Bombyx mori: one gene and its partner. Each later gene encodes a partner of the first gene's protein in a complex. Links are inferred from orthologs where the notes say so. Each region holds a gene or a part of one and is shown on either strand. Other genes may lie near its edges.

What was found.
Region 2: the proteins of Dhdds (region 1) and dehydrodolichyl diphosphate synthase complex subunit Nus1 are in contact, whole or in part, in a crystal structure (PDB 7PAX), measured with the Homo sapiens proteins. The link is inferred for Bombyx mori from reciprocal best matches to the Homo sapiens genes DHDDS and NUS1. Residues at the interface, in NP_995583.1 of Homo sapiens: Arg37, Arg38, Glu81, Asn82, Lys84, Arg85, Arg159, His160, Ile162, Ser163, Val166, Arg167, Met169, Ala170, Trp171, Val173, Glu174, Pro180, Ser181, Ile183, Ser184, Glu185, Leu188, His199, Glu209, Val210, Arg211, Leu212, Ser213, Asp214; in NP_612468.1 of Homo sapiens: His137, Gln138, Pro193, Glu194, Lys197, Ala198, Ile200, Val201, Ala204, Gln205, Phe207, Cys208, Gln209, Val211, Ala212, Arg217, Pro218, Thr219, Leu221, Asp222, Val223, Leu226, Asp237, Pro246, Val247, Asp248, Ser249, Thr250, Leu251, Gly252.

The regions. Positions count from the first base shown.
Region 1 is NC_085119.1:4,398,639-4,402,930, reverse strand, and holds the start of Dhdds (dehydrodolichyl diphosphate synthase), read left to right. Parts: upstream 1-1,294; 5' UTR 1,295-1,543; coding exon 1,544-1,735; intron 1,736-1,875; coding exon 1,876-2,009; intron 2,010-4,292. UniProt on the Homo sapiens protein: With NUS1, forms the dehydrodolichyl diphosphate synthase (DDS) complex, an essential component of the dolichol monophosphate (Dol-P) biosynthetic machinery.
Region 2 is NC_085129.1:11,412,657-11,416,922, reverse strand, and holds dehydrodolichyl diphosphate synthase complex subunit Nus1, read right to left. Parts: upstream 3,025-4,266; 5' UTR 2,394-3,024; coding exon 2,093-2,393; intron 1,523-2,092; coding exon 1,059-1,522; 3' UTR 244-1,058; downstream 1-243. UniProt on the Homo sapiens protein: With DHDDS, forms the dehydrodolichyl diphosphate synthase (DDS) complex, an essential component of the dolichol monophosphate (Dol-P) biosynthetic machinery.

The DNA of each region.
Region 1 (4,292 bases):
CTGTCCGCAGGATCGGGAATGTAGTTACCGGCGGCCACGATGAGAGGGTTCTCATGTCGTGCCGCTTTATCGAAGTGGCGCATGGACGCCGACTGCAGATACTTACTGATGGACTCTAAGTCCAGGTCGTCATGGAGGTCGACGTTCCTGACGAACCACGGGGCTCCGACGGCTATCCTGCAAAAACGGGATTGAATAATTTGGAATGACTTTAAGTGAGTGCGGGCCGCGTGAGCGAACACTACACTTGCATAGGTCATGACGGGGCGTATGCAAGTTTTGTAGAGTGTCACCTTATTTCTAAGGGACATTTTACTTCGCCTACATATCATCGGGTAGAGACGTCCTAGAATGAAGGCGGCACGATCGCGTACCGTCTTGATGTGGGGGCGGAATGTCATCCTACTGTCGAGGGTGACGCCTAAATATTTGACCTTCGGGGCCCACGGTATGGGCTGGTCGAACATCGTGATTGGGCGAACGGCGGGGGCGGGGGTATTGACGCGCCTAGTCGGGAGGGGGATGCTCAGCGTGGTGTTCGGAGGGCGACCCCTTTTGAAGAGCACCGCTGTGCTTTTCGTGGGGTTAATGTCGATGCGCCACTTCCGGAACCACTGTCCCATGGTGGTAGCCGCGGTCTGAAGTCGTCGATGAAGCAACGCCTTCTTCCTACACGAGTAGTAGATGGCGGTGTCATCGGCGAAGAGCGCCAGATGGGTCTCCGGAGACCGGGGTATATCGTTGATATACAAACTAAATAGTAACGGGGAGAGAGCGGAGCCTTGCGGGACTCCGGCTGTGACGTGACGGGGCCGGGAACGCGTTCCCTCGACTCGATATTGGAACGAACGGTTCGACAAGTAGTCTCGTATGATGAGCACGAGTCTGTCTGGCACTCCCATGTTATACAGTTTGTATATCAAACCGTTGTGCCAGACTTTGTCGAACGCCTTCGCTATATCGAAGAAGAGGGCTCCTGTCGGAATGGGACGTGCAGTCTCCTCTCGAAACAAGCTTTATATGTTAAATCTGCTGTACAACAAGTCTATACACGATCAAGCACGCACGACGCAGGACCGCTCTGATGTACGTCCACGTTATTCACTGTCTATCTGCACGACGTTCGCAGTGCTGGGGGCGCTCGCTGGATGCAAAATTGATCGTGTAAATCCAGCAAACAATTAATATCGACAATGATTATCGACGTACGTTAAGCCTATTCTTGGTACTTTTGCATCGTGGATCGTGCATGGCTTTGGCGGGACGTACAGCAAGATGGAACGTGTATAGAACACTTTAGCAGTGCATAGATTATACGCTTATACATACATTAAACACTTAATATGTCAAGTTTATAAGCTATGGTTTGGTGGATGGTTGACGTTGAATAAAGTGTAAATTAACATATATCTGTATTTCTAAGCTACATTCAACTACATTGTATATTTGTATATTGTATACTAAGCTAAAGTTGTGGTTTTCGCGTACCGTATTATTTTTACGTTTATGTACACCGATATTCGCTTTGGTGAATTCTTTAACGATGTCTTTGTGGATAAAAGAAAACTGTGTATCATTTTTCCAACTATTTTGTATCAAAGTAATAAAGACCGGCCGAGTACCCCAACACATAGCATTCATAATGGATGGAAACAGACGTTACGCGAAAAAAAATAGTGTCGACAAGAGTACTGGTCATCATAAAGGTTTTGACAAGCTTTCTGAAACCTTAAAGGTGCAAAAAAATATTTAATGTATTTTATTGCTTAGTTAGTCTAAGTTAATTTTAAGTTTTTAATAAAATATTATTTAAGAATATTTTAGAATACTAAAAGGTTTGATAAATTTAAATTAGTTCACACATTCTGTTTTCAGTGGTGCCTTGATTTAGGAATACCTGAGGTAACTGTTTATGCATTCAGCATAGAAAACTTTAAGAGAAGCAAAGAAGAAGTTGATGCACTTATGGAATTGGCTCGAGAAAAATTCCAAAATCTCTTGGATGAAATGTAAATATAAATATTAATTTATTCATACATCATCAAGGGTACAGTGGTGGACTTCACGTCTAAGGAAAGCATTCTCTGCTGGTCAATGAAGGATAGTAGGTTCCATTATTATATTGAAATGTAATGAGATCAAATCGTATAGTTTGAACAATGAGTGATATTTTTAAAATAAATCAAATATTTCTTGGTTCTACTCGTTCGGTCTGATTATGTTTAATTTATCCAATTGAGTCAAAATTTTCAACAGCTTTTGGTAAAAAACTAATGAAATTATATGTTGTTTCAAAATATTTATGTATTTTCATCAGATGAAAATTAAATTGTTATTTGGGCTTTAGATAACGATTTTTACATAAGATAGTGTCAACTATGAAGGTGCCATTGGTTTTATCAGTAAGACACTCAGTGTACTTTTATTGAAGTTGTGGTAGCCTAATGTGTATTTGTGAGTCGTGTGCACCGGGTACGGTGGGATGGTGCTTTGCTTTGATGGTGTCGAGTGCGATGTTCCACAGGGGTCGGTCCTTGGCCCTCTCTCGTGAAACATCGGCTACGACTGGGTCCTGCGGGGCGCCCTTCGTGCTCCTCTCCCGAATCTGAGGGTAGTTTGCTACGCAGACTATACTTTTGTCGTGGCCCGGGCCCACATGGTGTTAAGTGGTTACTGGAGCCCATAAACATCTACGACGTAAATGCGCCACCCACCTTGAGATATATGTATAGATATAGTTATAATATAAAGAGTGGCCAGAACATTGATGTCCAAAAAAATATTTAGTTCCCTCGTGTTGTGAGGTATCCGAATCACCCCCATGTATGTTCCGCGATATTTGATAGTTTTCGAGTTATGAATTTTTTTCTAATTTTGGAGAATTTTCGACATGGCCCACTTAAAATAAAAAAAAAATTAGATTTTTCGAGACTTTTTTTGCAACTAATTCTCTAATTTATCTTATATTCTCTAATTTGCAACTAATTCTACAAGTTGTTCTTTTACACATAAAATAATCAGCTTCGTAACTTTTATGGAAGTTGCAAAGATTTTGGGTTAAAAAGAAAAATTTACGGTCTGTGAATTAGACTTACATTTTCAACTTTAAATAAAAAATCTAAACAGGTGATTAAATAAGTTTCTAAGTAACTTTAAAAAATGCGCTAGACTCTTAGCTTTCATAATCAATAAAAAAAAGCTTAACGGGCTACTTTGGCTAAAATTGACCTTCAAAGAAAGCTAGGTGGAAAATTCTTAAATTTTTTTGGTCTTACAAAAAAATATATTTTGACAATTTTATCATTCTTAAGGTTAGTTTGTTTGTTAACAAACCAAAATTGACTGCAGAAAAGCTAAGGTCTAAGCATTTGGAGGTAATTTTTTTTAGTTTTTGCGCGATCTGTTCTTGCCGGTCATGAGATGTAAAAACGAGCCGAGAGGATAAGAAAAAATTATAATTTTGCGGGTTTGATTTTTATTACACGTTGTTATTCCTTCACCGTGGAAGTCAATCGTGAATATTTGTTGAGTACGTATTTCATTAGAAAAATTGAAAATTGAAAAAAAATTGAATTGACTTGAACACCGGTGCATCGCTCAACACGAATGCACCGGACGTCTATCCCTAAGGCCACGACGACTTCAAACCTACTGTGGAAGAGCAAACCGGTCAGCGGTGTATCACGTTCCGATCCGGCAGGCTGGTTCTGGCCCAGCTGAGTATCCCGGAACACCAGCGACATCGCCCGGGCGGTCTGGTAGGGCCTCCGTACCGCGGAGACAGGCGTCGTTGGTCGTCGACTATCGGCTCGACGACCCGTCGGTCGGGCGTCCTCGGGGTGGCGCCGCGTGTCTAGTTGTAGTGTTGACCGCGGGAACCCCTTACTCTGACTAGGTTCTGACCCCGGACGGAGATCAGACGTCGGGTATAAGACTGCAGGGGAGTCGTTTAGTACATTAGGGCCCTACAATTCTTTGGGCCCGCACACTGCTCCAAACACCTTGCAGATCGTCAAGTCCCACATACCCCGGGCGCCCCCTAGGCGCGGGTACCTTCTAAGAGGTTCGGCCCCAGTACCGAAACAAAAAGGTTAGAGCCCCGTGAACTCAACTACTCACTCGGCGAATCTAGTATAACCCCATGTAGTTACTAGAATAGGTAGGAAGAAAAAAAGAAACTGCAATAATAGAAAATCGATGATACATGTTCACACTCTGATGATATTATACAATACCATTGTAATAAGACCCGCAACTTGAATTGATTGTGTTATTTGATAGCATTTATAGTA
Region 2 (4,266 bases), on another chromosome or scaffold:
TTGAGCTTATTTTAATAAAGGCTGTGATCTATTTTAAAATTTATCTCTTACAGATGGAAGCTGTTATGTACGCGTTGAAGTGTATCTTAGTGATATTGTGTATAGTATTTTAGTGTGCAACAATCAATGATCCATCGCGTTATTCCAATAAAGTTTTTTTGAATCTATATTGATAAATTTCGTTTCTTTGTCCTTTCTGTGCATGATGGTATAAAAATGTTATAAAAGCAAAAAAAAAACAAGTTTTACCAATGTAACCTGTTTATTGATGTTTGCAATGCCCTACTAATATTACATTAAAAATACCAATGATAAATAACTACAAAACTGAAGAATAAGATAAAATGAAAGTATCACTGATCTCATCATTAATTACACTTATATTTCAATTTAAATTTTCATTTCAATCTAAAAACAAAATATCATTTTTCCTGAACTATTTGAAGGAAATCCTTACAAAAAATTAATTAGAGTTAACCTCTAATCAAACCAATAACCTAATCAGTGGTGAATTTATTAAAATTTAGTATTTACAATAAAAACAGTATTTAACTATTACACCACAAATATAAACTGCTACAGCATTTCCTTGAGTCATATGAGTCAAGCATAACTATATTGAATAATATGCACTTGAATATTTGATGATACAAAAGATAGAAACATGCCAAAATCATGTTGTGCTGTTACCTAATTAATAATTCTGTTTTAAATGTAAAGGAAATTAAAATCTGTTTTATCAGCGATGCATAAATTATTTTCATCGACAGAATTAAATTTTCATATACTTCAAAATATAACACCATGTCAAATACAGGCACATACCTACCTAATTTTAATATAATTTGATATATAGGAAATATACTATAATATGTAGACCATGTTACTTTGGTAAATTATCAAACAAGTTCTTGGCACTCATTTTTAAAAATCTCATTCTTGTGTTTATGAATTTCGCCTATTTACAAATACATTCAATATTTGACTGTTGTAAAATAAATTAAAATAATAAATTTACTTAGGCCTAGTATTGAATTTAATTTACTATCACTTCCAAGTTACGTTCCAAATCTTTGATCGCATTTACTATATTTATACATAGCACCTACAAAGCTTTCAACACTTAAATTATAGTCAACTGATAAACTTATGAACTCTGTAAGTCTTATTTGCCATGGCAATAAACCATGTGTACAACAAACTGGACCTGAAAATAATGCTAAATCAGGATCTGGAATGGAAGGGTATACTGCTGATATCACATCATCAAATTCTTGTGCGGTAATTTGGTCACTTTTTCTATTATATGGAATTTTTTCCTCACACATTTCTTTGATACATTGTGTAATTGTGGAACGTCCGTTCTGACAAGAAAAAATATTCACAACAATTTTATGTGCAGGAATGCCATTTGTATACCCATTCAAATCAGGTTTCTTTGACCATTTTATACACCCCGGAACACCTTTCTTGTTCTTCTCAACTGCATTAAAAAGTTTTTCTTCTTGATATGAAAGTTGACCTGCAAAGTTTTATTAATAAAGATTTCAAACTTATATTTTGTTTATTCAATAATACAGAGGATCTCTGATGTTTCAGCCTCAGTCTAATTTAGGTCCTGCTGTAATCCGATATACTATAACATATTACAGAATTATTTAAAAAATCTGTTATTTTGTGTCAGAGGTTATAGCTGTGTATGTCATTTATCAGCTTACATGGTACTGTTTTCAAAATAGTTCCAGACTACTGGAGACTAGACAGTACTCTATAATCCAACAAATTCAATTATCTGACAGTGGGTATTGAAACATTAGTCAAATTATGCAGATCAACTCTAAATTAGAAAATATTGTAATTAAGAGCTGAGAATTAATTTAGTGTTAATTTATTTTTTTATTATGTTGCATTAAATAAATATTTTTATTGAGAAAAGAAGTGCTATTCTTACAAGTCTAAATTTCTATACTAAAATAGATTCTTATCACAAAATCGACAAAATCCTGGGTTGGGTTTTATGAATTTCCAAGTGGTTAACAATAATATTTAATTTATTTTTTATATTGTAGTGTAAATTCATATTTTAACTCACCTGATACATCATAAAAACTTAAAAACGGTATTCCGGCTACTAAACTCCATATCACCATTCGAGCCAAATCATCTATTGAATGGTAATCGCTATCAGATAAAACAACTAAATGCTTTGGTTGTTTACTGAGTTTCGGTATATGCTTCACTATTAGCTTTAAATCAGTTTTTGTCACCTCATAGTCTTGTAAACTGTGCTTTTTAAGCCAATATCTGCAATAGACATTCTGAGCACCAACAATAAAATTTAAAATCAAATGTAGCAAAGCAAACAAGAACTGTCGAAGCAATCGTGACAGCATAATTCACATTAAATTATTATCCGCGACGTATGTAACGATAGTATTATTTTATTTCAACATTTTCGAGATAATATGAACTGAAAACTTTATATCTTTACTATATGATCACACGGCCTAGTCCATAGATTATACACTTAATATATTAGACAGCCGCTTTTCAAGAGCAGCCAATCACGAGCTTAAGAGTGGACAGTATGCAATGTTTACCAACGTTCAAAAATGAATTTACAGATTAGAGGAACTTTTTATATGACATTTCCACGCGGTTTTGCGTCACAGTTTGCTTGCGCTAGTGGTCAGCAGCTATCGATAGCGAAAGTCTATCGATGATTAGTACATGAATGTTAGGTTTTTTACTCAGATAAGTGAACCCTAGTATTAAGTGGTTACCAAAGCCCATAAACATCATAGTGTTAATTCCACCAGCCACCTTGCACCAGAATTAAGCAGAATATCGCGACGCTCCCTTGCCCGCAAGAACCCGTTAGGTAGCGTACTCGCAAAAGGTATCAATAGAATCTCCGCATATATTTTATAAATGTAGTGTGTTCTTTTTATAATGCTATTGCTGTTATTATTTTTTATTGTTATTGCTTCGTAGTGGAAGTCGTTTATGGATATGTTCCAACTTTTAGTTCGTATTTCTTTTCGCCCGTTTTCAATAACCTATCTGAGATTACCGATAGATAGCTATCTGCGCTTATCAGTAAGAGCGTATCTATTTTTAGCTTGCGTTTCACAATCACGGATATCTATCTTTAACCAACAGAGGATAGCTTCTTCCTTCTGATCTATCCGAGCCTCTTCATACGTTTCGTTCTACTGCAAATATGAAACAACATCAGGTTCAATACTTATTTTATTTTAGTCTAAATCATAACTGTAATTTAACCATCATATCGTATCGTATGTCGTATCACTCTTGTCAGAGCGGTCGTGGTCGTCATCCAGTATCATTGGTGTGGGCAGATGTTATGTGAGCAATCATATCGTAGACCATCATAAATTCATTTGTTTTTAATAACAATTAATAAAAACATATCGACGCTTGAAAGGCTAACGTGACTAAGCGACAATGCGTGAACTTTACTGTAGACTAATTTAAAGTCGAAATACCTGAAAAAAATCTATATTAACGAATCTAGCTGTAGGATTGAAATTATTTTAATAGACCTAGAAATATATTTTTTTTGCGCATCGAATATGGTTATTGCCTATCATTTATGTATAAAGCGGCTATTGTCGCTTAGTCACGTTTGCCTTTCAAGCGTCGATATGTATATTTTTTTAAATTGGACGTATTGTTATTTTTATACTAGTCGAAGTTATGAAACGAAACGTTTTGACCGCCCGTTTGCCAATGAGCAGTGGTCAGTTTCTTTTGTTTGTTTTTCTGTTGGTTTTCTGTTACTCGATAGTGAATTGCCTCCAAAACGCTTTAAAATTTTCGTTTATAATTTTAAGTATATAATGTGTATAATAATAATTTAATTGATATAGAGCTACAGTGAAATAAAATAAATTTTGTCAGTATCTATAAATTACATTGATAACTTTTTTTTGTGTTCAAGTTTTGAAAGATATATTTTTCAGTCAAGAAAGGCAATTCGGACGTTCTTTATTTTCTTTTAACCATATGATATCGGCTTCACTATCACTATCTGCATCACAATCTATCATCATTTGAAATAATTCCAAATCACTATCATCAATACTACAAGATGCCATTATGAAGAGAAACACTAATTAAATTATAGCTATTTAATTTCAAAAGGTAAACATGTAATCGGCCGATTTTGACAGATAAGCGGATGCCCTTACTAGAGATAACGCCGCCTATCGGAGAGTTACTTAAAACTCATATTGAAACGGG